4 linked regions of the Cricetulus griseus genome follow. The protein of the gene in region 1 purifies or fractionates together with the protein of each later gene. This does not show direct contact. Links are inferred from orthologs where the notes say so. Each region holds a gene or a part of one and is shown in the gene's direction. Other genes may lie near its edges.

Region 1 (7,453 bases):
ATTTGCTTTGTTAAAATATGTATGAGTATTTTACCTGCATGTATATTTGTGCACTATATGTGTGCAGTGCCCACAGAGGCCTGAAGAGGGCCTGGAGTTACAGAGTTGTGAGGCACTTTGTGGGTGCTGGGAATCAAACTCCTATGCTTGTAACAGAGGCCAATGCTCTCAACCATGGGCCTCAGAAATACGTTTCTAGCTTCTTTTTGAGAGGTACAAGATGAATAAGATTGAATCTATTTTGTAGTTGAGAGATGTTAACAGGTGTTCTTTAAAACAATAATTTTTAAAAATAATAAATTTTTAAAATTATATATGCCATGCCCACCATCTTTCTTAGATCCTTTAATTTGTTATAGTACATTGGGATTTAAGAATAGTATTCATCACTTCAGAAACAGGAGATCTGGGTGTGATGGCTCACACCTTTAATACACTTGCTTGGGAAACAGGCAGACAGATCTCTGAGTCCAGCTTAATCAATACAGTAAGTTCCAGGCCAGCCAGTGCAACATAGTGAAACACTGTCTCAAAAGGAGGGGGTCATGCAAGTAAAAATATGGTTGATCAAGGGCCTTCCCTACCCTTTCTTTTTTTGTGGTTTAGGAACTTGAATCTAGGGCCTCATAAAAATTAGATGATTAGTCTACTATACTACTGAATCACTTCCCCAGAACTTTTCAAGAACACATTGATTAAACAATGAAATATTTAGCATTTGGGTTTGGGGAGGGCAGCTTGTGTGTAGTTAAGTTCATGTTGGCTGTCATACAAACTCAAAGGCCTTAACATCATTTTTAGTTTAGTAAAGCTTTATACAGGTTGGACTTTTGGCTACCTGTCTAATGTATTTTAATGTTTGATTTGTTGAGTTCATTTGGCTAGTACCTTCTGTGTAAAAACCTTGAATGGAATTCACTTAACTTTTTTCCTATTTTGGTAGGTTTGAATACTTAACTGTTCAAATGATGCTGTCTCATCAATTCATCTATTCATTTGTAGCTTTGCATGATTTGTTTTTCAGAACTTAAATAAACAGTCCTTCGATCTTGCAAAAGTCCTGTTGAAAAGGACAGTCCAGACTATTGAAGCATGCATTGCCAATGTATGTATTTCTGTATACTTTTATTTCAGAACTCTATGATTCGTGGGGTATTATGTGAATTTATTAGAATCATTTATATACAGATATATTTCTCATATAAACAGTTTTATTCAGATGAAATATGAAAACTTACATGCAAATATGACCACAATTGGAAAAATGTAGCATAACCATAAAATGTCTTTAAACTGGCACGAGTGATAGATATTACTTTAAAAACTAACTACATTTCTTACCCTTCTGCATCTGTATTCTTGCTTGTCATATCCCTCCCAAGTACTTGAAACTTTTACTTTGTCTTTGTATCTTTTCCCTGCCTTTTGCAAAAGGGTCTCATTATATAGCCATGGCTGGCCAAGAACTTTCTAGGTAGATCAGACTGGCCTCAGAAATCTGCCTGCCTCTCTACCCTTTGGATCTCTGTCTTCATCTGTATATATTTTCCTCTTTGTGTTTTCTGGATCATTTATCTAAAACTCTGTTTCTTTAGTAGATGTTTGTTGTGGGGAGCTGGGGTCAGAGGATAACCTGTAGGATCAGTTCTGTTCTTCCATCACGATCGGGGAATCAAACTAAGCTCATCAGGTTTGGGCGCAGGTGACTACCTGCTGAGCTAGCTCTCCAGTCTTATAAATAACTGTTTTTAAAACATTCGTTGATAGCTAGACAGTGGTGGCACATGCCTTTAATGCCAGTATTTGGGAGGCAGAGGCAGGTGAGTGTCTGTGAGTTCAAGGCCGGCCTGGTCTACAAATCAAGTTCTGGAACAGCCAGTGCTATACAGAGAAACTCTATAGGGGGACGGGGGCAAACTTTGACACACACACCCCCACACAAAAGCACATATACAAGCATGTGCATATATTAATTCCTGTAATAGAAAATTTTTAATTAAACATAAATCTGTTCTGTCAAAAGATAGAATTTGATAAAAATAAATAATTTTAAAATTAAAATTTATTACTTTAAAACAGTAATTCTTTTACAAATTTACTCATGCATATCTATTGTCTTTTACTTTTAGCTCCATTAATACAAATGAGGGAGGCAAGGGAAGCAGAAGGAGGGGTGAAGGAGAATTTTGGTAAAATGAAATAAAAATAAAAAAATACAAATGGATTTAAATTGACACATAGTTATTTCCCTTATTGCCTTATATTAAAGGTTTTATCAGTGTTTTTCTTTACAAGCCATCTTTGAGAATGCAACACTATTGTGGAATTACCTCCTTATATATAAAAAAGAGGGATTATTAATTTAAATTGTATAAAATTGCTATGTCTGTTATTAAATTAATAACAAGGTAGGCTACCATGAAAGTCCTGTTCTCCATTCTCAGAAACAACAGTCAGTAGGTGTTAGTATTCAGGCATCTGTACTGGCCTGTCCTTGGGGGTTCTAACAGGATATGCCCTCAGCTGCAGCCACTAACAGCACCTCCTGTGCATATTCATTATGTTCCCATCCTCCTATATTTCTCTCCCTGTCTCTGTCCTCCCCTCCTTCCTCTCTCCTGCTGCTCCTGTCCCTGGAGGCTAGTCTTCCCTTTCCCTTATTTATTTATTTATTTATTTATTTATTTATTTATTTATTTTCAGGGCAGGGTTTCTCAATGGCTTTGGAGGCTGTCCTGGAACTAGCTCTGGTCTGGAACTCACAGAGATCAGCCTGCCCCTCCCTCCTGAGTGCTGGGATTAAAGGCGTGTGCCACCAACACCCTCCCCCCTTCCCTTTTTTTACGATTCCTTTTCCTAATAAAAAACCCCTCAGCTTGAACTCTGTTGCATGTCATCTTTCTCTCTTGTGCTGCTTTTTAAAAATTATAACAAGTTCTGATCCATTTTCAGAAGTATCACCCCATGCTTATTTGTGTGTATATGTATGTTCTTTTATATGTATAGGTGTTTTGACTATGTATGTCTGTGTACCATATGTGTACCTGGTATCCATAGGGGTCAGAAGAGGGCATCAGATCTCCTGGGACTTGAGTTACAGATGGTTGAGAGCTGCCATGTGGGTGCTGGGAATGAACCTGAATCCTGGAAGAGCAGCCAGTGCTCTTAACCCCTGAGCCATCTCTCCAACTCCGACTCATAGCTTTTCTAAAGAAATACATATAACTTTATGATGTTCAAAACAAATGCTGATTTTCATAGAACTGTGTTTTTAAAATTTTGAAATCTAGTTCCTGGCTAGAGAGATGGGTTAGTGGTAGAAAGTGCTTGCTGTTCTTACAGAGGACCCAAAATTCCCTTCCTGACACCCATGTCTAGTAGCTCACTCACAACTACCTATAACTCCAAATCCAGTGGATTCAGTGCCCTTTTTTGGCCTCCATGGTTGTACACTCAGAATATATACACACAAATGAAATCTATAAAAAGTTAAAAACATTCTATATGTATATAGGAGGGGTGTGTTTGTGTAAGTGACTTGTGATTGTTTTTCCTACAGTATTCTTTTATGTATCCAAGTACCTCTGGGGGGTGGGGATATTTCCACTTAGTTTCCTTTGGAGACCAGAAAATAACATCACATCACTTGGAACTAGAGTTACAGGCAGTTATGAGCCACACTTAATGGATTTTTGGAAAGTTAATTGAGTCTTCTGCAAGAGCAGTCCATTCTCTTAATTGCTAAACCCTTTTTAAATTATCAACTAACTTTCATGTCTTCAACCTTAGTCAAAATGTATTTGACTTTCACTAGACATCACTAAACTCATAGGAAAAATATCAGATTGAGACTTTATAAATTATTTTGCAATGCTGAGTGATTGATTTATAAGTGTTCTTCTAATGAATTATACATGGTATCTAAATTGTTTTATTTTAATGAAAATTAAAGTTTTCAGAACTGTCGTCTTTATTAGAAACACAGCCAATAATCAGTGCTTTAATTTTAATCAGTGTTTTAATTCATGATTTGAAAATATTTGGAAGTTTGTTTCTTGTTTAGATGACTATGTTAGTAATTTAGTAGGTAATCTGTCATTCCTTTCAATTGTATGTGTAATGCTCATTCATTGTTTTTGCATGGATATTTATAGAAAATTGTTTTTTTAATTTTTTTTTAAAGTAAAGTAACACATCTTTTATTGTAATGTCTCCTCTAGTTTTTCAATCAAGTCCTGGTGCTGGGAAGATCGTCAGTCAGTGATCTGTCTGAACATGTATTTGATCTGATTCAGGAACTTTTCGCTATAGATCCTCATTTATTGTTATCTGTCATGCCACAGCTTGAATTCAAACTGAAGGTACCCTTTAGGCTTTACAGGGGGAAAAAAAAGTGTATTTTGAAGATTTTTCACTATTTCTAAAGGAATGAAATAGGAGTTTAGTTTATCTTAGCTTCATGACATCATAACATGTCTAGTTGTTATCTGATAGACATAGTGACACAGAGATAGAAAAGTGCTGTTGTCTTTGAAATTTATAATATTCAGTATTTTTACTTTAAATAATACTTATATTTAGATACTAAATTAATTTTATTGTGTAAATAATGGGTTTAATCATTTTTATGCCACATCAGTATATTAGGATGTACATATACACACTAAATAAATGTAATATTATATTATAAAAGTAATTGATAAACTATTAATGTAGAAATTTTAAATTATTGTTCCATACATTCATTAAAATGGGTATTGTCAGTTCAACATACATCTTCATAATTTAATATTTCACTGTGACTTAGATCAACACTCCTGTATATCAGCAATAACAAGCCATTCTGCTCCTGAAGGCCATTTGAAATACACTTGAGGAACATGTGAAATCTTACAATGAGGGCTTTAGGTCAACTTAGCAGTTTGGTTTTAGTAGGTTACAGATGTAAAACCTCACATTAATTGAAATAACTATGGATCTGCAACTGTAGTCACTCACGAGTAATAAAAAATTTCCTTATACTCTATTGTTTGACATTTAAGGCATTAATATTTCCTTAGAACATTAATTGGATTAACTGGTAAATTTTGGATATACTAAACACTGGTATCTCTCAGCATTGTTTTATTTTGCTTGAGAAAAAGCTTTTTAAAAATGCATTTTTTTACTACTATGTTAAAGCCTTAACATAATTGTCATTTTACATTTGTTTTATACAAATGTATGTATTTTATTCCTGCTGCCCAAAAGCTTTCTGCGAGTGATTAACTTGAATTTTGAATTCTCAGTTTCCTTAGTAGTATTGTTCTTTATCATGTTTTCTAGTCAGTGGAGAATTATTATTAAAACTGTAAACCAAAACTTTTAAGTGTTCTGTATCCATAGCATCGAGTCTTTATGAAGGAAGTTTACTAGGGCAGGAATTATTTGTCACTTTGTCCTTTGTGGAATTTTTCTAAAGTCTTAGACAATGTGAAGATTTAATAAAATGCTTATATTTGTACAAAGTCTCTATAATCAATGTGTAACTTGCAGATAAATTGTAAAGTAGGCATAAATTAGCAATAGGGAAGATGTAAGAAGGTCATCAGAGAATCATGCAATCTAACATGGAATCAGATTGTTCATCATAATAGTTGAAATATAAGATTGTTTCTACTTGGGAAGTATAGTGCAGGTTCTCTTCATTGTTTCTTCTCTTTGTAGAGCAACGATGGCGAAGAACGATTAGCTGTGGTTCGACTTCTAGCAAAATTGTTTGGCTCTAAAGATTCAGACTTAGCAACACAAAATCGGCCTCTTTGGCAGTGTTTCCTTGGGCGGTAAGAAAGCATGACTTTTGAATTTTGTGTGCTCTTAGAGTCACATAATTACGACTACATATACCAAACATTAATTGATATTTGTTGACATTTGTGTAGTAATTTGCCTTTTAGAATAAATTGTGGAGCAAAGTATTTATGTATGAGTGTGTGTAGTATAATATGTGGGTGCATTCTGAGTAGTTTTTATTTTGTAGCAACATTTCAAGCTTTAGTAATATTAGATCTGCAAAATCTGTTGTCTGAGTTGAAGCGTATATTTACAGTAGTTGTTTCAATGTGTTAAGCATATACTGTTTGCAGAATTGTTTCTATAGAATTAAGCATCTTTCTCTCTGTCTCTGTCTCTGTCTCCATTATGTAGCTTTGGTTGTCTTAGGGTCCCTCTGGAGACCAGTCACTGTCTTTGAATTCATAGATCTACCTGCCTCTGCCTTCGGGATTAAAGGTGTGGGCCATTATGACTAGTTCTTTATATTTTTCATAGAATACATTAGCTGTCAGTATAATTAACAGTTTCTACTTAGTAACCATTGCTGTTTATAAACACTTTTATGTTATATGTTTATTAATAATTAATTTGCCTTATTGATGCTTGGCAATCTTTTTCTACTTAGCTTTAATGACATTCATGTTCCTGTGAGATTAGAAAGTGTGAAATTTGCTAGTCATTGTTTGATGAACCACCCAGATTTAGCAAAGGATCTCACGGGTAAGCTCCCTGGTTTATTACACGTTAATTAATTACAAAATGTTTCAGATGTGGCCTGTACCTAACTCTAGTTTCCAAAAGGGATTTGATTCTAGGCTGTCTTCATGTCTGCTTTTTAGACTAGGAAATTAATTCTGGTTTATAAGATAGTATCTTATAAAACAAAAACATGTATTTGTCATTTGTAAATATTTTAGAAATCATAAGTTGAGATAATGTAAGCCTATGACATTGGCATTAGATACAAAACACGTACATTATTAAGTATAGTAATATACCTAATGTGTGCAGAAAAGGGGGGCTATTTTCTAATTTAGATTGTTAAATTTTCATTATTCAGTTTAAAGTAGTAAACCTACCTATTTGTCAGTAGCAAATAAATAGCTTTTATTAACATGCTACTATTTATTGAAAGCAGAAGAAATAACTTTTGTTTTGATTTCACTTGTATTATAATTTATTTAGAAATTTAAAGGTCATTCTGTTTCATATAATGTAACTGTGTATATATCATTTGTCTTAACCATTTGTACTGCTTTTTGTATTTTAATTTATAAATGAGGTTTCAGACTGTAAAATTGGTGCTGTGCTATCATTTGACCTTCCACCAAAAATATTATTTAAGATGTGCTCTGAAATAATAAACATAGTGTTAGGAATAGTTAAGGCTACTTAGTGATGTCTTACAGGTAGCATTAATTCATCTTGTATTTTGTAGTCATTAATACAGCAATGCTTAAAGCTTTTATCTTTTTATCATTCTGAATCATAACAATTTATATAGCTAACATTTATCTCAACTGTTCCCTTTTAATCATAGAATATTTGAAAGTTAGATCACATGATCCAGAAGAAGCCATTCGTCATGATGTCATTGTTACTATAATAACAGCTGCTAAAAGAGATCTTACCTTAGTAA
Region 2 (7,453 bases), about 52 Mb from region 1:
ATAGAAAGATCTAGAGAAGCTTCCTGCAAGCAGGTTTCTAGGCAAAGCTAATATGCCGTATATGCAGCCCTGTTCCAGGTAAGTACAAATGTCCCTGAAAGGCTTTCATTTATTGTTGCTGAGTTTTAGTTCTACTAAATACTTTCTAAGTTAAACATAGTTACTTGAAAACTTAAATGTTCACTTGGTTCAGTTTCTTAATGCCTAACTTCTTCTGAGTTCAGCATGACAGAGGCTTAGATGTTCAGGGACAGGTTACTAGAAGACATGCAGTTGTACATACTGACTAGGAGAGCAAATGTCAAATGTGTAAACTTTTTTTTTTTTTTTTTTTACAATTTGAAATTATTGCAGCTATTTCAGGATTATTCTGCATTACTATTCAGAAAGCCCTGCTATTTGTTAATTTGAATACTGATGACATTTCATGTTTTTAACCTGACATATTTTTTTTATAGATAAAGTGGAGAATTTTAGTGAAGAACATGAAAAAAATAGTCACCATTTTCATAAAAATGCTGAAGATAGTACTAAGAAACCCAACACAGAAACCACAGTAGCTTCTGAATATAAAGCTGATGAGATTAAGGAAACAAATGATACTTGGAACACCCAGTCTGGGAAAAGATCAGAGTCTCCATCTGAAAGTTGTCCAGTCAAAGGACCTGTAAGAACTGGTTTATATGAGTGGGATAATGATTTTGAAGATATCAGATCAGAAGACTGTATTCTGAGTTTGGATAATGATTCTCTTTTAGAGATGAAGGATGAAGATTTAAAAAACCGATTGGAAAATCTAAATGAAGCCATTGAAGAAGATATTATACAAAGTGTTCTTAGGCCAAGCAACTGTAGGACGTACTGTAGGGCCAATAAAGCAAAATCCTCACAGGGAGCATTAAATTTCGATAAGCTAATGGATGGCACCAGTCAGGCCTTAGCCAAAGCAAACAGTGACTCAAGTAAAGATGGCCTGAATCAGGCAAAGAAAGGTGGTGTAAGTTGTGGGACCAGTTTTAGAGGAACAGTTGGACGGACTAGAGATTACACTGTTTTACATCCATCCTGCTTGTCAGTTTGTAATGTTACCATCCAGGATACAATGGAACGGAGTATGGATGAGTTCACGGCGTCCACTCCTGCAGACTTAGGAGAGGCTGGCCGGCTCAGGAAAAAGGCAGATATTGCAACTTCCAAGACCACTACTAGATTTCGACCTAGTAATACTAAATCCAAAAAGGATGTTAAACTTGAATTTTTTGGTTTTGAAGATCATGATGAGACAGGAGGTGATGAAGGGGGTTCTGGAAGTTCTAATTACAAAATTAAATATTTTGGCTTTGACGATCTCAGTGAAAGTGAAGATGATGATGACGACGACTGTCAAGTGGAAAGAAAGACAAACAAAAAAAGAACTAAAACAGCTCCATCACCTTCCCTGCAGCCTCCCCCTGAAAGCAGCGACAATTCCCAGGATAGTCAGCCTAGTACTAATAATGCAGGTAAGAATTGTAAGAAATATATACATAACATAATAATATGTTTAACATATGATTTGTTTCTCAGGCTTTAATCAAAGGCTAGACTGTTTCGTAGATACTTAGTTTTAGTTTGTTTTATATATGTGAGATTTATTTTTAATATGTAGATGTGTGTGCCTGTATGTGGGTATGTGCATGTGAATACAAGTACCCTCTGAGGCCAGAGGCAGTAAGTCCCCTAGAGCTGGAATTAGAGTTGTAAGCTGTCTGACCTGGGTGCTGAAAACAACTCCGATCCTTTGGGAGAGCAGCAAATTCTCCCAACCACTGAGACATTTCTCTAGCCATAGTTTGCTATAATATTAGTAGAAGCATCTATTTAGAACCCATCTATTGCCTCAGAGGTATAAAACTTTCATGTAAATTTTTAGGTCTTAAATTATGAAAGACTGGGAGTCTCGAAGCTTTAAATCAGTGACTAGCCTTTAAGGTTTTTGGTTTCAGATTGGATTCCAAACCAGGGCCTCACACATAATAAGGTCTGCCACTGAAATATACAGCCTTAGGCCAGTGTAGGCATTTGGTCTTTGGACCTTTGGGTGTGGCTTCAGGCGAACCTAAGCAGAAAGAGAGGAGCCTGAGGTGTGGCTTTTCATTGCTTGCTCCTTCTGTTGGGTCAGTGGATCAGTAGGAAGAGCAGAGAAACGCTCTGGTGGTTCTTTGTATTTTTCTGTGTAATTGTCCCCAATAAACACCCATTTTTCATTTTTCTTGGGTCTAGTGATATAATTACATCCTTGCCTTCAGGCCAGCACCTGTGAATTTATATGAGAATTTTAAACTGTTGGGACAGAGATACCAAATATCTTGTTTTAGCTTTGAAAATCCAAATGCAATGGAGACATAAGGATTTTGGATAATTAGAACTGTACTGATAAGAGATGGTTTTATGAGGGAAATACTCAAATTAATTAAACCCTTTGTAAGTAGCACAAAACTAAAAAAGAAAAAAAATTTTTTTTTTTTTTTGAAACATTCTCAAACCCTCTTAAATTGTAGTCTCATAAGATCAAAAGGTATGCTGGGCAGGTGGATCTCTGAGTTTTAGGCCAGCCTGGTCTACAGAGTAAGTTTCAGGACAGCAGAGCTACACAGAAAAATCCTGTCTGGGAAAAACAAAAACAAAATAGATTGTAAAGTACTGGGTAAGAATTCTCTTTTAATAATGAAAATTTGTCTCTTAAGACTGTAGGCTCAATGATAAGATTCTCTTAGGAGTTGAATCTCTCTCTCTCTCTCTCTCTCTCTCTCTCTCTCTATATATATATATATATATATATATATATATATATATAGGTAGCTTTGCTATAATTAAAGCTTTACTTGAAAAGGGTGATGTGTAGAGGATTCACTTATGTGAGGAAGAATTTGTGAAATAAAAGGTCTTTTCAACCAAATACAGCTTTGCTATATTGGTTTAATTGTTTAAAAAATTTTTTGTCCTGCTAAAGTTGTAGACATTTGTAATTGTGGTGAATTAGAATTTCCATAGTATTTGTGAATTTAGATTCCCAAATAGAGTATATCATACTTGACACTACCTGCTACTTAGCATTTTTGGGTCTAAAAGTAGTTTGCATGGTTTTGGGGGTGATTTGTACAGGGGAAACATGCTCTATGACTGAGTTACACTCTCAGCCCAGATAAGATTCATCCTTGGTTTTAACTGGAATTAAAGCAGGAACTTCTAGAGCCTCTTCAGTTCCCTAAGAAAGTATAGTTAACATTTATCTAGTGTTATCATCAGCCTCTTCTGGAAGATTGCAGTTTGCAGCAGCCTCACTAGACACTTGAGATCTGGTCATAATGCTGTGCAGTACCTACACTCTTGTCCTGCTGCAGTTTATTTGACTTTTAGGCTCAATTTGTATAGTAAGTTATTCTTCTCATCTGCAATTTAAAATCTGTTACATGTTGTAATAATAGGACTTCAATTCTGAAATGTGAAAAATAGACTAACTTTGAGAAATGAAGTTTACATGAACATTTCTGCAAGTTCCCAGGCAGGTATGTGTAGGCATACATGTAGGCAAAACACTCATATACATAATATTCATCTAAAATTTTTTAAGAAATGATTATCTTTATAGAAGCCAGCAGCCTCTTACAGTTTGAACAGTGTCTTTGACTTTTGAGAGCCACACCAAATTACTTATCTTGCATCAAAGCATTCTATATCCCCACCCAGCACAAATGCATTCAGTGAGTACTGGAAGCATGCAGTGTTGACACCAGACCACCTGGGTTTGGAGTCTAGCTCTGCTACATCAGCTCTGCTTAGCTGGCTTCCAACAAGTATTCTTTTAAGTTAACATGATTTCATGAACTTAAAATCTAGAAATAGCCGGGCGTTGGTGGCGCACGCCTTTAATCCCAGTACTCGGGAGGCAGAGGCAGGCAGATCTCTGTGAGTTTGAGGCTAGCCTGGTCTCTAGAGCGAGTGCCAGGATAGGCTCCAAAGCTACACAGAGAAACCCTGTCTCGAAAAACAATAACAACAAAAAAAATCTAGAAATATGTGAAACTTAGGTATCATTTGATATTTATGAGTTTGATATAAATTATATATCTAGCACTCATATGTATCTGGTAGTTACATGATCTATGAAGTTCAAATTTTATTTTGGAAAAAATTTAAAGCCAGACATAGTGATGCATGACTGTAATTTCAGTATTTGGGCAGCTGAAGCAGAGGGATTGCCATGAGTTTGAGCCAATTAGGGATATTTAGTGAATTCCAGGCCACTATGGGCGCTAGCTACAAAGAGCCATTCTCAGTAAAAGAGAAAATATTTGTTTTTGTTTTGTTTTATGTTAACACAAAATAAAACTAGAACACATGTTTAACAGCCAGGTTTTGAAGTAGAAGGTGAGGATTAGAGTAGCTTTTCAGCTGTTGCTGCTTTTAATCTTTCATTCATTTCTCACCCTAACCCCAATATTATGTTTAAAAAATGGCCTTAAGTTTTCTGATAACTTGAAATACTGGAAAGCTAGCTAGTTTTGATTACCGTTTCAGAAAACTTGGATTTTACAGAGGACTTGCCTGGTGTGCCTGAGAGTGTGAAGAAGCCCATAAATAAACAAGGCGATAAATCCAAGGAAAATACCAGAAAGATTTTTAGTGGCCCCAAACGGGTAAGTAAAGCACTATTATTTATTTATCATTAGAGGACTCATGTCTTATTTAGGGTTTCTAATGCTGTGAAGAGACACATGACAACATTTAATTGGGGCTAGCTTGCAGTTCAGAGGTTCAGTTCATTATCATCATGGTGGGTCATGGCGGCGCACAGGCAGAAAATGGTGCTGGAAAGGAAGCTGAGAGTTCCACATCTTGCACAGGAAACAGGAAGTGATCTGAGACACTGCGTCGTTTGAACACGTATGAGACCTCAAAGCCCATCCCCACAGTGACAGATGAATGGACGAGCATGCGTGTGTGTGTGTGTGTGTGTGTATGAGAGAGAGAGAGAGAGAGAGAGAGAGAGAGAGAGAGAGAGAGAGAGAGAGAGAGAATACTATTAAGCTGTAAAGAAAAATTAATAAAAATTAGCAGGAAAATGGACTTAGATTAGAATATGTGATATTAGATGAGTCCATACAATCTCAAAAAAAGTGTTCTTACATTTGAAGTCTAGCCATTAAAAAATATATGTACACACATATATACATACATATGTATATAAATAAATGTACATGTGAGCACAGTATAACATGTAGGAAAGAGAACAAGTATTGCTAAATGTTAGGGAATGACGAAGGACTGAATTTCTAAGCTATTCTGTAAAGAAGAGAAGTTCAGTGAGTTAATCTTTGGGCCTATGTTAGGTGTTTGATTTTTTTTTTTTTAATTTGCAATGTTTTGTATAATAAAGTGGTAAAATTTAATTAAAAAGAAATTCCATATTAGATACATAGTTTGCAAGTATTTTCCCAGTTCTTCGTGTTGCCCCCCCTCCTTGCCAATTTTTGATTTTGTTTTTTGGTTTTTTCGAGACAGGGTTTCTCTGTGGCTTTTAGAGGCTGTCCTGGAACTAGCTCTTGTAGACCAGGCTGGACTCGAACTCACAGAGATCCACCTGCCTCTGCCTCCCGAGTGCTGGGACTAAAGGCGTGTGTTTAAAAAACGCCCTGTGCCGACTTTTTAAATTTTTGATGAAGCACAACTCTTTTCCTTTTGTTGTCTGTGGTTTTAATATCAAAGCTGAGGATTCATTGCCAAATTCGGTGTAGACTTTCAAAACTGTTTTTCGCTTATGGTTTGTAGTTTTATTTAGGTTTTTGATCTATTTTGAGTGAATTTTTGTGCATACTGTAAGGTCGTGATCGTGATCCACCTTCACTTTCAGGCATTGCAGCATGTAATTTAATATAACCTTGCACAGGTATTGAGAATATTTCTTACATTTAAAAAGCCTGCTGTGTGTTGTTCTTCTAAGTTGTAGTTAAAAGTTGTCAGCAACTTTTATTTTTTCCAGTTGAATTAATTTTTGTATCTATTCCTATTTTTTTCTTATTTTACTTTTGTAAAAGCCCACTGAGTATCTTCACAGTAGTTGTTGATGCACTTTAGTTCTTATGGATTTGTTTATGAAGTATGTTAGTTTTCAGAGCAATATTTACCAATAGGCAAGGGATGGCCCAATCACATAGACTTTTTTAAATAAATGTTTTTTTAAACATTTATTTCATTTATTTTGGGGAGAGGATTCCATATGTAAGTATTGTGTTTACATTATTTCTACCTCTCCCTTCCGTGTCCTCCTCCCTTATACCTCCTTCTTCAACATCATGACTTCTTTACCTACTATTGTTACACATGCACACACACACAACACTCTCTCTCTCTCTCTCTCTCTCTCTCTCTCTCTCTCTCTCTCTCTCTCATACAAACCCACATATCTTGCTGAGTCCCTTTAGTTTTGCTCATATGTATGTGTGTAGTTTCAGGCCAGCTTGAACCACATAGCAAGACCCTATCTCAAATAAAAATGGTTTAAAAAACAACCAGGGTGGGGAGTGGGGGGAACAAAAAAAACCAAAAAACCCCTATCAGATTAGAAATAAAGAAACAAATTCCAAATGTATTGTTTACAATTCTACTAAAATAATAAACCAATGACATAGCAACATAACTTATATGAAAAATTATTTAAAACCAAAAATATTGAAGGAAGAATACATTGTTTTATCTTTATTTTTGTAAATTTCTGCAAAGGCAAGCTTAAAAAGATTCTTGAAGACTTGGTATGGTGGCTCATGACTTTAATCCCAACACTGGGAAAATCTAACATAAACATGCTATATGATTGTATTTTAGATAACCTTTTCAAATGATATTTTAAAATATATTTGGTGTGCTACACCAGAAACTTAATTTGAGTTTCTTGATGATTATCCCATATTTGTAAGCTTTTCATACTGTTAAATTTGAACCTGTTGTTTCCCCTTAACATTTTGAACAGGTATTTTTAACCATGCATGCTTTATAACCTTATATGTGGGCCATTTGGAAAATACTAGTCACCCTGAGTTATGCACACATTTCATTATGCTCACTCAAAAATTCATGCTAATCTTGTCAAACCAAATTTTGTTGTTACTGGTCATGTTTAGTCCGTAATAGATCAAGTTCTCCAGAATTTTAGTTTTTTTTTCTCATTGGCATCAAAATGCCTTAGGGAAATTAGCTGACAGTGACAGCCTCCCTTTTTTCCTTTATGGAAATATTTTTGCCAGATACCCAACCATGTTTGTCAATCTTTGAAGTAAGTTTTTTTTTTTTTTTTTCCTGAAAAAAGTGGCTAGATCTACACAGCTCAAAAAGTTGATGTATACAGAAGTGTTTTATGCACACTTGTTTGGTATTTCACACAACACTGAGATTTAATAAAACTGGTATTTCTTCT
Region 3 (8,094 bases), on another chromosome or scaffold:
AACCTACATATGGGCTATATAATATATATACATATACATATACATATACATACATACATACATATATATATATATATATATATATATTATATATATATTTCCCTGTTTGTGCCAACTATTTCACAGTTACAAAATGGTTATTGGAAGTTATAGCACTAGGAAGAGTTCAAGTACTTGAAGAGAGGGCAGCGTGCCTAGAGCACTGTAACCAATTGAGATAGTGGCATAAGACAAATTGAAAAGGTGTGTAGGAACTGGCTCTTAAAAGCCTGTAGTAATAGGCCTGGGAGTGTGGCTCAGTTGGAAAAGTGCTTGTCTAGCATACATGAAGCCCTGGGTACAATCCACAGCACCACATATAACTGGATTGAGTACTGCATGCCTATAATCTCAGCACTTTGGGGAGATGGAGACAGGAGGATCAGTAGTTCAGCGTCCTTCTCAATTACAGAGTGAGAACCAGTCTCAAGGAAATTGTCTCAAGGCTGGTGAGATGGCTCAATGGGTAATGATACTTGTCAACAAGCCTGATGATCTGAGTTTGATGCTTGAACCCACATGATAGAAAGAACCAACTCCTAGCCGGGTGGTGGGGTGGTGGTGGTGGTGGTAGTGGTGGCCCACACCTTTAGTCCCAGCACTCGGGAGGCAGAGGCAGGTGGATCTCTGTGAGTTCAAGACCAGTCTAGTCAACAAAATGAGTTCCAGGACAGCCAGGGCTATTACACAGAGAAAGCAGAGGAAAAAAAAAAAAAAAAAAAAAAAAAAAAAAAACAACAAAAAAAACCAACTCTTACAAGTTGTCCTCTGACCTCCACATGTGCATGCCCATGTTCCCCTCCCCCAACTAAATAAAATAAATGTAATAGTTTGTGTTTAAGCTGTCTCCAAAAAAGACTCCTGTATGAGGAGAAATACAAAATTTATGTTAGCAACCCTTCACCACTTATGTGTCAAAACTGGGCTTCCAAAAATATGAAGGAACATGGACCAATTATTTGGCTAAATAGGTAATTAAATAAAGGGGACATTTTATTTCAGAAAAGCTGCTTGTCAGTGTGATGAATGGGCAACAGAAAACAATATTGAAGAAGCTAGAAGGTCAATGTGGAGACCACTGAAGTTAAAAGACAAGGATATTGGCTTTAAGTAGGGCTATTTTAAGAAGAGGGAGGGCTGGGTAAATGGCTAGCCTCACACCTAAAAAGAGAAGGGAACATTGTGTTAGAAGAAATGGGAAGGATGTAAAGAGCTAGAGGATGGGGAGGAGTACTGTGAGCTGCCGTCTTTTAGACATGACAGGGCCATGCACTCATGAATTCACAGCAGCCGTGAAGGAGACCTGTACAACAACAAGCCAATGAACCTTCAAGCATTGGTGAGGAGCTCATGAGGCTCCATTCCTAGTTGAAGAGCTATTAGAAGTTGATGCCAATTAGAAGAATTGAGGAAGAGTCAATTCTTTGCAGGTCCATTCCATGCACATGTGGGAAGTACTATTGGGGAGTTACAAACAACAGGGGGGTATGATAGGGGTTTAGAGGAAAGAGGTTGGAGTGGGGATGAATATGCTCCACATTCATTGGCACATCTAAGAAAGCATAAAAGGATTTTTAAAAAGGCCACATGTGATGGCACATACCTTTAATCCCAGCATTTGTGAGGTAGAGGCAGGTGAATCCCTGTGTTTGAGGCCAGTCTGGTCTCCATAGTGAGTTTCAGGACAGCCAGGGCAATGTAAAGAGACTCTGCCTCTCCCACAAAAAAGAATAAAAAAATATTAAAACCAACCAAACAGCAACAAAAAAACCCCATGTAAAACAAATATCTCCCTATTCTAAATTCATAAAGATATTCTCATATATATTATTCTACAATTCCTAAAGTTTTGCTTTTATCATTTGTTTTTAATCCATTTGAAACTGCTGGAGAGATGGCTCAGAGGTTAAGAACACTGGTTGTTTTTCCAGAGGTCTTGAGTTCAATTCCCAGCAACCACATGGCAGCTCACAACCATCTATAATGAGATCTGGTGCCCTCTTCTGACCTGCATGGACATATGCAGACAGAACACTGTATACATAATAAAGAAATAAATCTTTAAAAAAAAAGAATTAGGGATACAGTTTAATTTTCTCCCAAGCTCCATGTCATCTTTGAAAATTAAATAGTAAAAATTTAAAAATTATATTAGATTTCAGCCTTTGGTTATTTTATTCCTTCTTGTTGACTGTGACTGTGACTGAGACTTTTTTACCAACAGCTTCATTTTTGGCTTCCATCAGATTCTATCAACTGAACTTTCTCACTTTCCCAGCTTTTAGGCATTCTTTAAAAACAGTTACAGGAATAGGACTGGAGAGATGGCTTGGTGGTTAAAAACACTTCCCCATCTTCCAGAGTACCATCAGGTATTTTACAACCACCTGTAACTCCGGCTCCAAGGGACCTGATGTCCCGTGATTGTGGCATACATACATACACACATACTTCACAAATAAAAATGAATCATTAAATAGTTACAAATCTGGGTGGTAGTGGCACATGCCTCTGATTCTAGTACTCAGGAGGCAGAGACAGATGGATCTCTTGAGTTCGGAGGTCTGCTTGGTCTACAGAGTGAGTTCCAGGGCAGCTAGAGCTACACAGAGAAACCCTGTCTGGAAAAAAAAGTTACAGGAATAGCTGTGGAGACCACCTTCTGAAAATGGCACTAGCCTATAAATTCAAACTGTTGCCATACTATAAGGCCACTAAAGGGAAGCCTCAGGGTTGCTAAGAGCATCACTTAGTAATGAGCAGGCATAAGATAATAGAAGGTGGATGAAAGGATGAAGGCTGGAAATGAGCAATGAATGGATAAGGGCAGGGTATTAAGAAGAGAGAGGAGGGCCGGGCGTTGGTGGCGCACGCCTTTAATCCCAGCATTCGGGAGGCAGAGGCAGGCGGATCTCTGTGAGTTCTTTTGAGACCAGCCTGGTCTATAAGAGCTAGTTCCAGGACAGCCTCCAAAGCCACAGAGAAACCCTGTCTCGAAAAAAGAGAGAGAGAGAGAGAGAGGAGGGGAACGGAGAAGCCAATGAGGGAGGTAGACAAAGGAGATGAGAGTGAAGAGAAAGATGGGGATGAAGGTACAGTGCCATAGACATATGATGCAGGCGGAATGGGATTGGGGAGAAACACGTAGTAAGGAGAAAGGGGAAAAGGACAAACTGGAGCACTGGCTTAAGGACTTGGACCCCTGGTGTTCACACAAGACACCTTTCTCAGTACAGAATTCTAATTTTCAAGCTCGTAAGTGGATTGGGTCCAAGTTGGCTCTAGGATTTACATGGCAGCCTTTGAATTCCGCTTTGGGAAATAAGAGAGAAGCAGGCGATAAGGGCAGTATCTCAGAACACAACTTTCCCCAACTTCTATTTCCGTTGTCAAGGAGTCTAGGAGTGTCCTCATCCTCCTTCACACTCCAATCTTACCTCACTCAAGTCCTCCCTAAGATCCGCCCTTCTAGTCCAAACTGCCCACCCCTCCCAGGGTGCCTTCTAATTTCCGACTGGAGCCCTAGACAGCCCAGACTACAAACCACCGCCTCCTACTAGTCCTTAGCAACGGGGAGGGCATAACCTTGCTGTGACTTCTGTCTCAGCAAGCGTGGGCTCAGGCCCCGCCTGCCTTCTGATTCTCTCCCAAAGCGATAGTAGTCCTTCTGGGGACTAAAGCTTCCCCAGTTCAGTCCGTTACCGCTTTGACTGTTGCAGAGCAACGACAAAGGGGGGCGGGGTCAAAACACCCACGCACGAGCCGGAAGTGACTGGCCTCTGGCCCCGGAAATCCTCATTGGCTTGTACTTATTATCGCGAGGTTTACCGTACACCCGGCTTGCACCGCGGTATTTCCCGCGCGGGCTAACCTCGGTTCCCAGGAGTAATCTGCGGCCTCGCCTACGGTAGCGCCGCTGCCATGGGGTTCTTGAAGCTGATTGAGATCGAGAACTTTAAATCGTACAAGGGTCGACAGATTATCGGACCATTTCAGAGGTTCACCGCCATCATTGGACCCAATGGCTCTGGTGAGATGATAAATCCGGCTGCGGCCCTGCTGGCGTCGCGATCCGGTCCCCCTGTCCATCTCCAGAATAGTACAACCTACCCCGTGCAACCTGAGACGCTTGAACCCTAATATGTTCCTTGCTCTCCTTGAGGGGGGATTCGACTCGAACTCTCTCCCGCTTCTGCCATATGCTTAACTCGAGCCCCTTCCCAAATGTCAGGTGGCCGAGTCTTGTGCAAACCCCCTCTCTGGGCAGAATGGTATGGGCGGGACTATGGGTTGCCTCGCCCACAACCCCTCCCGCCAAAACACGCTTTCCTGGAACTTGCTGACAGTTGTTTGGCCTGTGGCTCCTTTCTGCTCTGCGTTGTACCAGGTTCCTGGTCTCAAGTTCGACACATTTGGGAAATTTTGGGAATGTTGTCTCTGCCTTGGCATTCGGTCCCAAATAGTATACTTTCTGCTTTAGCCAGCCCCACTCCGCAAACGCGACTCTCACTGGAACGCTCGTTTTTCCCTGTGTGCAGCTGTGACACTTTTGGGATTTTAGACACAACACTTCTCCCAGCAGAGTGGGATTCCGTTTCTCGCCCCTACACACCTAAGAGATGTTGCCTTGATTTGCCGCTTTCCTACCAGGAAGCCCTAATGAGCCTGAACTTGTTTGTTTGCCAAATTTGTTGAGTGCTTCCGGTTTTATCGGTTAAGTTTATGCGGAAAATAAGTCAAGTCCGTGATCCCAGGAAACTTATTTAGAGGAGAAAGAAGTTAAAGTACAAAATATAATATTCAGGCCGTTTTAAATGCTCTGAAAAAAAGGGGTTAAAGTTGATAGCTTAAATTGACTTTGGTAGTAGGTAAGCCTACTTTTCCAGACTTAAGCCTGCTATCGCAACATCTTTTTTTTTTTTTTTTCCCCGAGACAGGGTTTCTCTGTGTAGCTTTGGAGCCTATCCTGGCACTCGCTCTGGAGACCAGGCTGGCCTTGAACTCACAGAGATCCACCTGCCTCTGCCTCCGAGTGCTAGGATTAAAGGCATGCGCCACCAATGCCTGGCAATCCAGCTGTTTTTAAAAGGCCCTTGGCCCGAGTCCTTACCCTCTCTATTATTTTTTTTTTTTGAGACCATATCTTATGGTTTCAAATTTCAAATTTCCTTATGGTTTCAAATTTCCCCTCCCCAAGTGAGTATATTCTACCACATCTTCCTTCTGCATATCTTTCAAAGTTTGGCTCTGTGAAGCATCCCTTGAACCCTTGGTTCCCACTTTATAAATTGCTCTTTCTCTCTGGCACACAGACGGAAATTTCCCTCCCTCCCTCCCTCCCTCCCTTCCTTCCTTCCCCTTCCTCCTCCCTTTCTTTTTGGTGTTTTGAGGCATGGTTTCTCTGTGTAGCTTTGGAGCCTGTCCTGGAACTCACTGTGTAGATAGATCAGGCTGGCCTTGGACTCACAGAGATCCACCTGCCTCTGCCTCCTGAGTGCTGGGGTCAAAGGCATGTGCCAGCATAGACTATTTTCTGTCACAAATTTATAGTACCTGTGTCTGTATCTTCATCACTAGTGTATGAGTGTCCTCAAGAAGCCATTTCTTGAGATGTTTTGTTAGTGAGACTTTGTTAGTGTTCACGAAGCACATTAGAAAAAATGTTTACAACACTGAAGAATTGAGTAAAAAGGCTTGTAGTTGTAAGGTGTTATCCTTGAAAAAATCAAGGAAGAAGCTCAAAGGTTGGAAATTGATACTTGAAAGATGAATTCCAACTTATGTGCTAGTTCTGCTGTAACTGGAAGTGTGGTTGAATCTAGACTGTATAACAATACATCTGTCCTTCCATCCACCCATGGCACGGTTTCTCTGTGTAACAGCCCTGGCTGTCCTGGAACTGATCTGTAGACCAGGCTGGCCTCGAACTCACAGAGATCCACTTGTTTGTGCCTTCTAAGTGCTGGGATTGAAGGTGTGTACCACCACCCTGCGGATCTGCTGATTGTTGAACGCCAGGTTGATCTTGGTTTTTTATTGTTCATTTGTTGAGATAGGATCTCATTTCAGACTGGTCTTAAATTCTTACTTACTTCAAGGATGGCCTTCTTATCTTCCTGCCTCCATCTCCAGAGTGCTGGAATTACAGGTGTTCACTTCCACCTGGTGTAATACAGTGTTTGGGTTTGATCTGAAGGCCTTGTACATGCTAGATAGGCACACACTCAGCAGGGTCACATCCCCAGCCTCACAAGGTTTATGTTTTTAAGGTGTTTAACAAACAGTAACAGAATGAAGGACAAATGAGCAAGGATCTTGGAGCTGGATGTTGTAGGGAGACTGTTTTTATCACCCTGTCAGTTGAAGTAAAGAACTCACTGACAGTTTAACTTGAGGAATGACTAGGTTTCTTCCTCTTTAAAGTAGAGGAAATGCCTATTTCCTAAGACTTTTGGATAAGCTAAATTGGGTAATTAATGTGAACATGAATCACAAAGTTGCATGAATCATGTGATGTAGTATTTTTAAGAAAATAGCTGATTCTGCCTTGGTATTTTAACAAGTATTAAAAAGAGTTCAGGATGCTGTCAGATGAAAGAGAAGGCTGTGGAGATGGCCCAGTCTGTAAACTGCTTGCCACACAAGTATGAGGACCTGAGTTTGAATTCTCAGTACCCACTTAGAAAGCTGGGTGTGAGCCAGGTGGTGGTGGCGGCACATGCCTTTAATCCCAGCACCTAGGAGGCAGAGGCAGGTGGATCTCTGTGAGTTCAAGACCAGCCTGGTCTACAAAAACAAAAAAAAAAAGCAAGCAAGCAAGCTGTGTGTGGTGGTATATACTCATAATCCAGAACTGGAGAGGTGGAGACTGGAGGATACCTGGGACTTGCTGGCCAGCTATTATAGCTCAGTTAGTGAGCTTCTAGGCCAAGAGAGATCCTGTTTCAAAAAAATAAGTTCAACAGTTATTTAAAAAAAGACACCCACCATCAACCTCTAGCCTCCATATGCATGCACATACACACAAATTGGATATTTGAAAGAAGCTCCATATAAAAATAGTGTACTAATGATATAATTTTGGTAATTTTAAAAGTTTGAGAACCTGGTACTTGCTAGGTGTGATGGCACATACCCATAGTTTCAGCACCTGTGTGGTTGAGGCAAGAAGATTGCTATGAGTTCCAGGTTAACCTGAGCTGCATAGTGAGGACCAGGGTTGCATAGCAGGGCCCTGTATCAAAAAAAATTGTACTGGTTTTGCTACTTTAGTTTGTTTTGTTAAGTTTCTCTCCTTTTCCCTTGTTTGATCAAGAGACTGGACTGAGTGATTTCAAAAAGTACAAAAAGTTTTCCCAGTATGTGGTTCAGTGGTACATATCTGAGCAGACTCAGAAACATGCCAAGTTTCCTCTTTAATGTTTTTATTTAATTATTTTTAAAACGACATTTATTGTGTGTGTTTGTATCAGAGGTTGATGTTAGTGTCTTTTTTTGATAAATCCACCTTATTTCTTTATTTCAAGACAGGGTTTCTCTGTGTAACAGTCCTGTCTGTCCTAGAACTCCCTCTGTAGACCAGGCTGGCCTTGAACTCAGAGATGTGCCTGCCTCTGCCCCCTGAGTGCTGGGACTAACGGTGTGCTCCACCAACACCTATCAATTCCATCTTGTTTTTTGAGATGGGATATCTTATTGGATTGCAGCTCAGCAACCGGTCCATATTGCCTGTCGAGCAAGCCCTGTCTCCACTTTCTCAATGCTAGGTTATGGGCCTACTCCATCATACCCAGCTTTTTAAGTGGATGCTAAGACTCCAAACTTAGATCCTTTATGCTTGTGTGGCAAGCTTGGTGCATGTGTGGGGGTCAGAGGACAGTTTTGCAGGAGTCAGTTCTCTCTTTTCTCTATGTGAGTGCTGGAGGTCATACTCAGGTTATCTGGCTTGGTGGCAAGTGCCTTACTCTGCAGAACCATCTCACCAGCCTGTTCATAGGTTTTCTTATACCTTCTTTCCAAGTATTGTATTATGAACATGGTCAAACGTATATGTGC
Region 4 (7,936 bases), on another chromosome or scaffold:
GAGACATAAGGGCAAGGAGTGCCAGGAAGCCCAGCAGCCCCAGCAGGAGCAGGAGCCCTGCCCGCTGGAGCAGAGTCAGTGGCCGCTTCCGGGACCCAGTCCTGCTCCTGAGAGAAATGAGGGGAAAGTCAGATCAGGCCCTAGGGCTCTGCCCTGGCACAAAAGGCGAAGCCTTAGTCACTCTCTTTAGGCCTTAATTTCCTTATCTGTGCACTGGGAATGATCATCCCTGTCCCCCTGCATTGGCCATCATATGGGATTATTATAAAACTTGAGACAGTGGGACACAAGTTGTCCTGGAGACTAATAAAAATCAGATAGCATCAAAACAGGAAGAGGCCTCAGAGCCCAAGTCCAAACACTCTGTAAGAGGAAAGGGCACAACCCCTGGAAAGGACACACACACTAAGTCTGCCCGCCTGCCAGGGCCTCATTGTGGCCCTGGCACTGGATGCTGTTAGTGCCCAGAAAAAGAATCACTGTCAACAAACTGTCCACCATGGGGCTTCTCCTCTCTGACACCCCATCCTGTGTGTCTCCATGTACCTGAGCAGTTGGGCCAGCCAACCTAGAGCAGGCCGGCGGCGGTATTTGTCATCATCACAATCTCCATGGAATCCTGCTGTCCGGTCATCATCCCGTGTGTCATATACCTTCCTTGGGGCTATAGGGATAGAAACACCAGCATGAATAAGCTCAGACAAACTGGTCCTATGGAAGTTGTAGGGAGGCAATATCTGTACTTGGAGTGAGGAAGAGCCATTCCACAGGGGCTCCTGAGCGCCCTCCACACAAATCACCCACTTTTTTCTATTTTCTGACTGGGAAAATTCTACAGCTCACCGTGTGTCAGGGCCTCAGTACTAGCCATGTGTATGACTGTGTGCTGCTCAGGACAGTTGGGGGGAGAAGGGGGACAGGGAACCTGGCCATAGAAAGTTGGAGCAACAGAAGTGCTGTCTATCTCCTCTTGTGCAGCAGGGCTGGTGGCTGTGGACAGAGAGAGAATGGTCAGTGAAGCAGGGAAGCAAGGCCCAGACAGCAGATGGAGGCCACCACTTACCATTGAAGCTGGACCAGTCAGAGAAGTCTGGGGAATTGAGGGGCTCAGGCTCTGGGCTTATTGCCTCATCGATCTGGAGAAAGGGATCTAAGTCAGTAGCCTGCTCACTCATGTTACCAACCCATCCAATCTGGCTCAGGTGAGGGTGAGGGCGAGGGCAAACAGATGGCCAGATAGACAGGGGGATTCTCACCAGAGGGAGGCCCAGTCCTGCCCGTGCCCAATTGACTGTGGCTAGCTTCTCTCTCAGTGCTGAAGCCACAGGGCCAGCTAGATTGGCTGGGGGGAAGATGGGGCCATTACAGCTGGGGCACTGGTAACCTGCAGGTGCCGTGTTTCGTGGTAGCTGAGCAGCACGTTCATTGATGCAGGCCCAGTGGAAGAGATCTTAGGACCCATGAAACAAGAAAGGAAAGACATGAGAAAGACAACTTGTTGGGCTCTTAGCCTAGGCCTAGCAATGCCTGCCCCCCCCCACACACACACCCTAGTCAGCTCATTGCAGGAATGAATGAACATATATGTGGATACCCAGGGTCATTCCTTTTCTTCTTCACCCCAGGTCCCCAAGACTTCATTCAACCTTCTTGTTAATACCACTGTACTAAATCACAGTAGATTCTATCTACTTGGCCAGCCCATAAGGAGAAGGTGTGGCTGGGAAGAAAATGTCATCTACCAGAATCTTCTCTGGGCCTGAACCCATCACACTCCTCACGCTAAAGGTTAAACAACAATAGTTTCAGGCTGGGTGTGGCAGCAGCTACTTGTACACCTATCTCTTGGGAGGTAGAGGCAGAAGGATCAAGAGTTCAAAGTCAGCCCCATGAGATCCCAGCTCAAAAAGACATTAATACAAAAGCACTTTTAGGAAAGCTTCCCAGACATACACACAGATACATGCATATATCCAGAGGTACAAATATACATATGCTAATATATAAGCAAACTCAAAAGCCATTCCCTCAACCTACACTAATTGTCACATGTTTAAGATGTACACATCTGTACATTCAAGGCAGCTAATACTCAAAAACCAACACCCTCATGCCATCATGCATTCCATAGGACATGTGTTCATATACATTCATTATCCATTCACTTTCCCATACGTAGTAATCAAATTGTCCATTTGTATGAGTGTACACATAATCTCACAGAGAAACACATTAAAGCCTGCCCTTTTGAACCAGCATCTTGAAAAACTTAAGCTGAGTCTTTTACAGCAGGCTGTGACTACTGTCTCCTTCTAGCTAACTGTAATGCACGAGTGAGGCTTCCTTTCTGTCCAGTCTTGGAATTAATAACGTTCCCCAAAAATGGATCTTGCTCACAGCCACAGATCAGTCATCTCCAGCTCTCCAAGACTGGCAGAGCAGGAAGGAAAGACACTGAGGCTGTGGAAGGGACAAGGCTTGATTAGGCTTACGAAGCAGGGAAGTACCTAACAGATTTGGGATCAGAGGCTCTGGCCTCCAGGTTTCAGAGACTTATTGTCTCGAAGCTTGAAAGGTGCCAGCAAACCAGTCTCCAAGCTGGATCCTGGGGCTGCCCTGACCCCTTCCCAGTGCCCAGGCCTTACCATAGCAGACAAGACGGGTTGTCTCTCGACTGGTCAGGGGTGTGTTGCACAGGCGGCAATTGGGGTTGTAGTCACTATCTTGTAGCCACTGCAAGTAGGACTGCACGATGCACTGGAGTGGAAAAGAGATGTCACAACTGGTGCCCAGGCTCTACGATTAATATACTACTCCAAGGCCCAAGTGCCTTGTTTCTTTCATCAGATTCATTTTGTGTGTTTAGTCAATGAACACTTACTGAGCACCTACTGGAGGTCTAACAGAGAGCAACATAAACCAAGTCCTTGCCCTTGTGGAGCTTACAATCTAGCGTTGAGTCCCTCATGGATTTGGAAGGAGACTGGCCTGCCCACCCAGTGCCCTGCTCAGCCACCGCTCTGAACGTCCCACCTTGGCGTGATTGGCTACCAAGCAGTGCTCACAGACGTTAACTCGATGTTCGAAGCAAAACAGGTTTGTCACCTTCCTCTTGGGGCACTTGCAAAGGCCCATGACCGATCCTAGAGAGAGGATCTGAGTTAACAGGAAACCAGGTTCATGTGATTGCCACTTTGTTCTTACCAACCTAGTTCGTTTTTTTTTTTTTTTTTTTAATCTCTCAGACCCGTCCCACACTAGTCCTCAGCACGGGTACGGCCACGCCCCCAGCACAGACCGTACTCATTCCATCAGGACCCAGCCCCTAGCCAGATCTCTCCATCAATTACTCCAATAACACCAGCCCGCCCCTAAGACCCCACCCCCTCCTGACCCCACCCCCATCCGGCAGACCCCATGCTGAGTCTCAGAGAACCTCCGCGGTACCGGTAGCGACCGGTGCGTACTGTGGTGGGAAGCGCAGAAGGTCGGAGACTGTGTTGACCCACTCCGGTAGCTGAAGCTCTGCTCCCTTCGGCTCCAGCCGCTCTGATTATCCCTCCGCTGCCACGTCTCTTCCGGGTGCGGCGCGCTCTGATGACGCCACAGCGCCATCAGGCCACGCCTCTGCCCACGCAAGACGTAAACCTGAGACGACAAAGGCATAGTCCAAGGGGCAGCCTTCTTCTTGCGTCACTTCCGATTCCGCCTTCCCGCTGGCGGGTGATTTGAACGTTTGCAGGAACAAACTTCCCGGTTGGCGCGAGCCTAAGTTGGCTACGGTGGTGAAGGAGACTGAGCCGGACCATAGATATGTCGGAGCGGCGAACGAGGTCCGGAGGGGCCGCGCAGCGGCCTGGTGAGTGGAGGACGCTCGACAGCCGTAGGGCCGTGTCGTTTGGACAATGAAACTTAGCTCCCGGGCAAGTTGGAAAACGGCGTCAGCTTTTCCGAACTCGTCAAGCGCCTGGTTTCGTTTGGTTTTTTATTTTTTTCCTCGAACAAAGTTTTGCTTATCTTTAAACATATTTCCCTTTCCAGGACCCAAGACTCCATTTATTAAGTCTTCGAAGAGGTCCCAGCGGAAATCTGGCTCAGATCTCCCAAACATCTTTCCTGAAATATGGCCGAAGGTGAGATCCGAGTTCCTCAGGTACTGACCTAATGTAAAGCTTTGAACAAATGTAAAGCTCATGGTAACCCTTTCCCCTCTTTTCAGACACCTCAAGCGGCTCCGGTCAGAAAGGCTATCATCTTGAAGAAGATCGTGGCTCATGCAGTAGAGGTGAGGGACTAAAAGGGATTTGAGAGTGAGATGTCAAACCGGCTAAGCTGTTGATTGATGGGTTGATGTTATCTCTACAGGTCCCAGCTGTCCACACACTTCGAAGGAGTCCTAGGGTGAGTTCAGTTCCACCTGCTTATTTGTATGGGATCCGGTTCTCCTTAGAAAAAAGGGTAGACATACTAAGCACCACTTCCACCCAGGCAGCTGAGAACAACTTGCCTCTTGACACCTTTATGAATTGTCACTTTAGATCTCACTGTGTAACACTGTTGTCCTGAATTGAAAGTTGCTGTAGACCAGGCTAGCCTCAAACTCAGAGATCCAACTGCCTTGGTCTCCCCAGTGATGGTACCAAGGATTAAATGAGTCCATGCTATCAGGACTTTCCTTCATTTTTAGTTTTTAATGTTGTTGGGTTTAGTTTGTTTTGTTTTGTTTCTCAAGTCAGGTTTTCTCTGTATAGCTCTGGAACTCACCCTGTAGACTAGGCTGGCTTCAAACTCACAGAGATCCACCTCTGCCTTCCTGAGCTGTGCACCACCACCACCCAGCTAAGTAAATGTTTACAAAAAGGAAAGAGTAATTCTCAGCACCCAAATCAGATGGATGTCAACCATCTGTAGCTTCAGTGTCCTCTTCTGGCCTCCATGGACACGTGCATACAAAATACAAACTGTAAAAGATGAGTTATATGCTGGGAGTTGGTGGCGCACGCCTTTAATCCCAGCACTCAGGAGGTAGAGGCAGGCAGATCTGTGAATTCGAGGCCAGCCTGGTCTACAAAGCGAGTTCCAGGACAACCTCCAGAGCTACACAGAGAAACCCCATCTTGAAGATGAGTTGTATGTACATGCTTTTATAGTTTTGGTAGAACTTTTAAGGACTTTTGTCATTTGTCTGTGAACACCTTGTTTTTTGAGATAGTGTATTAGTGTCTCATATAGCCAAGCCTGGCCTTGAACTTAGTGTATAATTAATGCTGGTTTTGAATTCCTGATTCTCTCGCTTCAAACACCCAAGTACTGGAATTACAGCTGTGCATCTCTATACCCAATGATATTTTGTTCTTTGAACAAGGTTTTGTTATTGAGTTGGTCTGATTGGCTTGGTACTCTTTGAGTAAGATGGGCTGGCCTTGAAGTCAAGGCTATCTTCCTTCCTAAGCCCCAAGAGTTCTGGGATTATAGTCCCTAGTTTGATTTCTTATCCTGATGTGTGGTGCTGGAGGTCAATCTCAGGATATCACACATGCTAAGCAGGTGCCCTGCTGTTGAGATAATCACAGCCAGCTTTTGAACTGAGGTACTGAGAGAGTAAAGCTGGGATGTCATAGAAAGATTTCTCTAGGAGTATGTGAGTGATTTCATTGCAACCCTGGGACCAAGGGGAGAGCCTTGAGTTAATATGATTAGGCCCCAACTAAGATAATGGCTGGACACATGTCCTATCACACCTCCTCCTGGAGAGCTTCCTGACTACTATAGTTCATTGACCCATTTCTCTGCGGTTACTTTATCATCATCTAGTAGAGTACTTGCTTACATGTTTGATATCTTTCCCTCTAAACATAACTACCTTAAAAGTGAGGACTTCCAAATTCATGGCCAGCCTGGTCTACATAAAGAGACCCTTTCTCAAAAAGTACAATCTGGCAGGGTGTTGGTGGTGCATACCTTTAATCTCAGCATTGCAGGGGTGGTTTGCCGAGGCAGGTGGATCTCTATGAGTTCGAGACCAGCCTGGTCTTCAAAGAGAGTTCCAGGACAGCCTCCAAAGCCACAGAGAAATCCTGTCTCAAAAAACTAAAAGAAAAAGAAAAACAAACAAAAAAAAAAGTAGTACAGTCTGGGTGGCTGTGTGGCCGCAAGAGGATGGGGATGTAGTATTTAGAGGTGGTACCACTTCTGATGGCATCCTTTTGTTTTCAGGACAGGGTTTTTCTGTATAGCCCTGCCTGTCCTGGAACTCACTCTGTAAACCATGCTGGCATCAATTCATAGAGGTCCTCCTGCCCCTGAGTACTGGATTAAAGGTGTGTCCAACCACACCCATCTGTGTTTTTTGTTTTGTTTTTTGTTTTTGTTTTTCGAGACAGGGTTTCTCTGTGGCTTTGGAGGCTGTCCTGGAACTAGCTCTTGTAGACCAGGTTGGTCGAACTCACAGAGATCCACCTGCCTCTGCCTCCCGGGTGCTGGGATTAAAGGCATGCACTACAACCACTCACCTTGTTCTGCCTTGCTTTTTTTTTTTTTTTTTTTTTATTTATGTATATAACATTCTGCCTCCATGTATATCTGCACACCAGCAGAGGGCACCAGATCTCATAACGGATGGTTGTGAGCTACCATGTGGTTGCTGGGAATTGAACTCAGGACCTCTGGAAGAGCAGTCAGTGCTCTCTTAGCTATCTCTCCAGTCCCAAAAGAACCTTTTTTTTTTTGGTTTTTTGAGACGGTTTCTCTGTGTCTTTGGAGGCTGTCCTGGAACTAGCTCTTGTGGACCAGGCTGGTCTTGAACTCACAGAGATCTGCCTGCCTCTGCCTCCCGAGTACTGGGATCATAGGCGTTGGCCACCACCGCCCAGCTTGTTCTGCTTTTTAACCCACCCCCACCCAAGTTTTCCTCATGTTTTCAGTGCCACAGTGAAAGTGCTGAGGTGCCAGTGTTTTGTTTTGTTTTAAGTTTTCCCTGATATATTCCCGGTGCCCAGAACATTCCCTGGTGTGGGACAGGTCACTAATAGATATTTATTGGTCAAATGAACATCTTATAAAAATCTTTAGAAGCTATATGGCAGATGACCCTGGAAGCAGGCAAAACAATTAGGAGGCTGTCAAGCCAGTTTAGGTATGCTGGAACTTTATGTCAAGTAGCAAATTGTTGCTATATGCCAGGTACATTTGAGGGTGGCAGCAAATGTAGTGAATCTTGTCCTAAGTCAGCTTCTCCAAAACAGTAGTGATTATCTCTTTTTTTCTTTCCAACAGTGGAGGTAGAACCCAGGGCTTATGCATTTCTGGGCATGTGCTCTATGACTGTTTGTTGCTTAAAATCTGTCCTGGACTGGGGATGGAACTCCTCAGCACAGTGTTTGTCTAGCATGCACAAGGTCAACCATAAAATACACAAGAAACGTAGAAATCCTGTGCTTTGTGGGCAGTCTTTCCATCCTGAATCCCCGAGCTGACAAGAGTTCTCTCGCCTGTCCTGATACAGATCTCTTTTATCTTGGAAAAAGAAAACAACCCTCCTCTCAAGGTACCCACAAAGGAGGACCTCTTCAAGACCTGTAGTGTCCCTGGTACCCCCACCAGCACCCCAGTGCTGTATACTCAGAATGTTGAGTCTAACTCTGAGGAAAGAGAACTGGACACCAGAGACTTGGAAATGTCCCAGAAAGTCAGGCGATCATACAGTCGGCTTGAGAGGCTCAATGCTGCCTCAACCTCCACCCCTGGCCGCCGATCCTTCTTTGGCTTTGAGGGACTTGAAGACTTGCCCCAAGTCTCACCTGTCGTGAGTTCAAAGTTAATTGAGATCCCCAAAGTATCTTCGAAGCCCTTGATTCCAGACACAACGCTTCCTGGAATCTCTCCTCCAGTCATGAAAGAGAAGCGAAGGAAGAAGGTGCCGGAGATCCTAGTGAGT

What was found.
Region 2: the proteins of Pds5a (region 1) and Wapl purify together in Homo sapiens (affinity purification with mass spectrometry; 6 studies listed by BioGRID and IntAct, with this or other methods). This does not show direct contact. The link is inferred for Cricetulus griseus from reciprocal best matches to the Homo sapiens genes PDS5A and WAPL.
Region 3: the proteins of Pds5a (region 1) and Smc1a purify together in Homo sapiens (co-immunoprecipitation; 8 studies listed by BioGRID and IntAct, with this or other methods). This does not show direct contact. The link is inferred for Cricetulus griseus from reciprocal best matches to the Homo sapiens genes PDS5A and SMC1A.
Region 4: the proteins of Pds5a (region 1) and Cdca5 purify together in Homo sapiens (affinity purification with mass spectrometry; 4 studies listed by BioGRID and IntAct, with this or other methods). This does not show direct contact. The link is inferred for Cricetulus griseus from reciprocal best matches to the Homo sapiens genes PDS5A and CDCA5.

What each region holds. Positions count from the first base shown.
Region 1 is NW_023276807.1:132,697,094-132,704,546, reverse strand, and holds part of Pds5a (sister chromatid cohesion protein PDS5 homolog A), read left to right. Parts: intron 1-1,024; coding exon 1,025-1,105; intron 1,106-4,220; coding exon 4,221-4,361; intron 4,362-5,706; coding exon 5,707-5,822; intron 5,823-6,439; coding exon 6,440-6,534; intron 6,535-7,354; coding exon 7,355-7,453. UniProt on the Homo sapiens protein: Probable regulator of sister chromatid cohesion in mitosis which may stabilize cohesin complex association with chromatin. May couple sister chromatid cohesion during mitosis to DNA replication.
Region 2 is NW_023276807.1:184,660,366-184,667,818, reverse strand, and holds part of Wapl (wings apart-like protein homolog), read left to right. Parts: intron 1-458; coding exon 459-1,502; intron 1,503-4,560; coding exon 4,561-4,679; intron 4,680-7,453. UniProt on the Homo sapiens protein: Regulator of sister chromatid cohesion in mitosis which negatively regulates cohesin association with chromatin. Involved in both sister chromatid cohesion during interphase and sister-chromatid resolution during early stages of mitosis.
Region 3 is NC_048604.1:107,482,260-107,490,353, reverse strand, and holds the start of Smc1a (structural maintenance of chromosomes protein 1A), read left to right. Parts: upstream 1-3,960; coding exon 3,961-4,069; intron 4,070-4,149; exon of another isoform or gene 4,150-4,293; intron 4,294-8,094. Other genes in the region: Ribc1 (RIB43A-like with coiled-coils protein 1), read right to left, coding at 1,643-1,657. UniProt on the Homo sapiens protein: Involved in chromosome cohesion during cell cycle and in DNA repair. Central component of cohesin complex. The cohesin complex is required for the cohesion of sister chromatids after DNA replication.
Region 4 is NC_048596.1:53,260,477-53,268,412, reverse strand, and holds the start of Cdca5 (sororin), read left to right. Parts: upstream 1-3,677; 5' UTR 3,678-3,813; coding exon 3,814-3,859; intron 3,860-4,041; coding exon 4,042-4,133; intron 4,134-4,219; coding exon 4,220-4,285; intron 4,286-4,365; coding exon 4,366-4,401; intron 4,402-7,504; coding exon 7,505-7,930; intron 7,931-7,936. Other genes in the region: Zfpl1 (zinc finger protein-like 1), read right to left, coding at 1-107, 547-664, 844-990, 1,064-1,136, 1,257-1,450, 2,646-2,757, 3,034-3,143, 3,468-3,615. UniProt on the Homo sapiens protein: Regulator of sister chromatid cohesion in mitosis stabilizing cohesin complex association with chromatin. May antagonize the action of WAPL which stimulates cohesin dissociation from chromatin.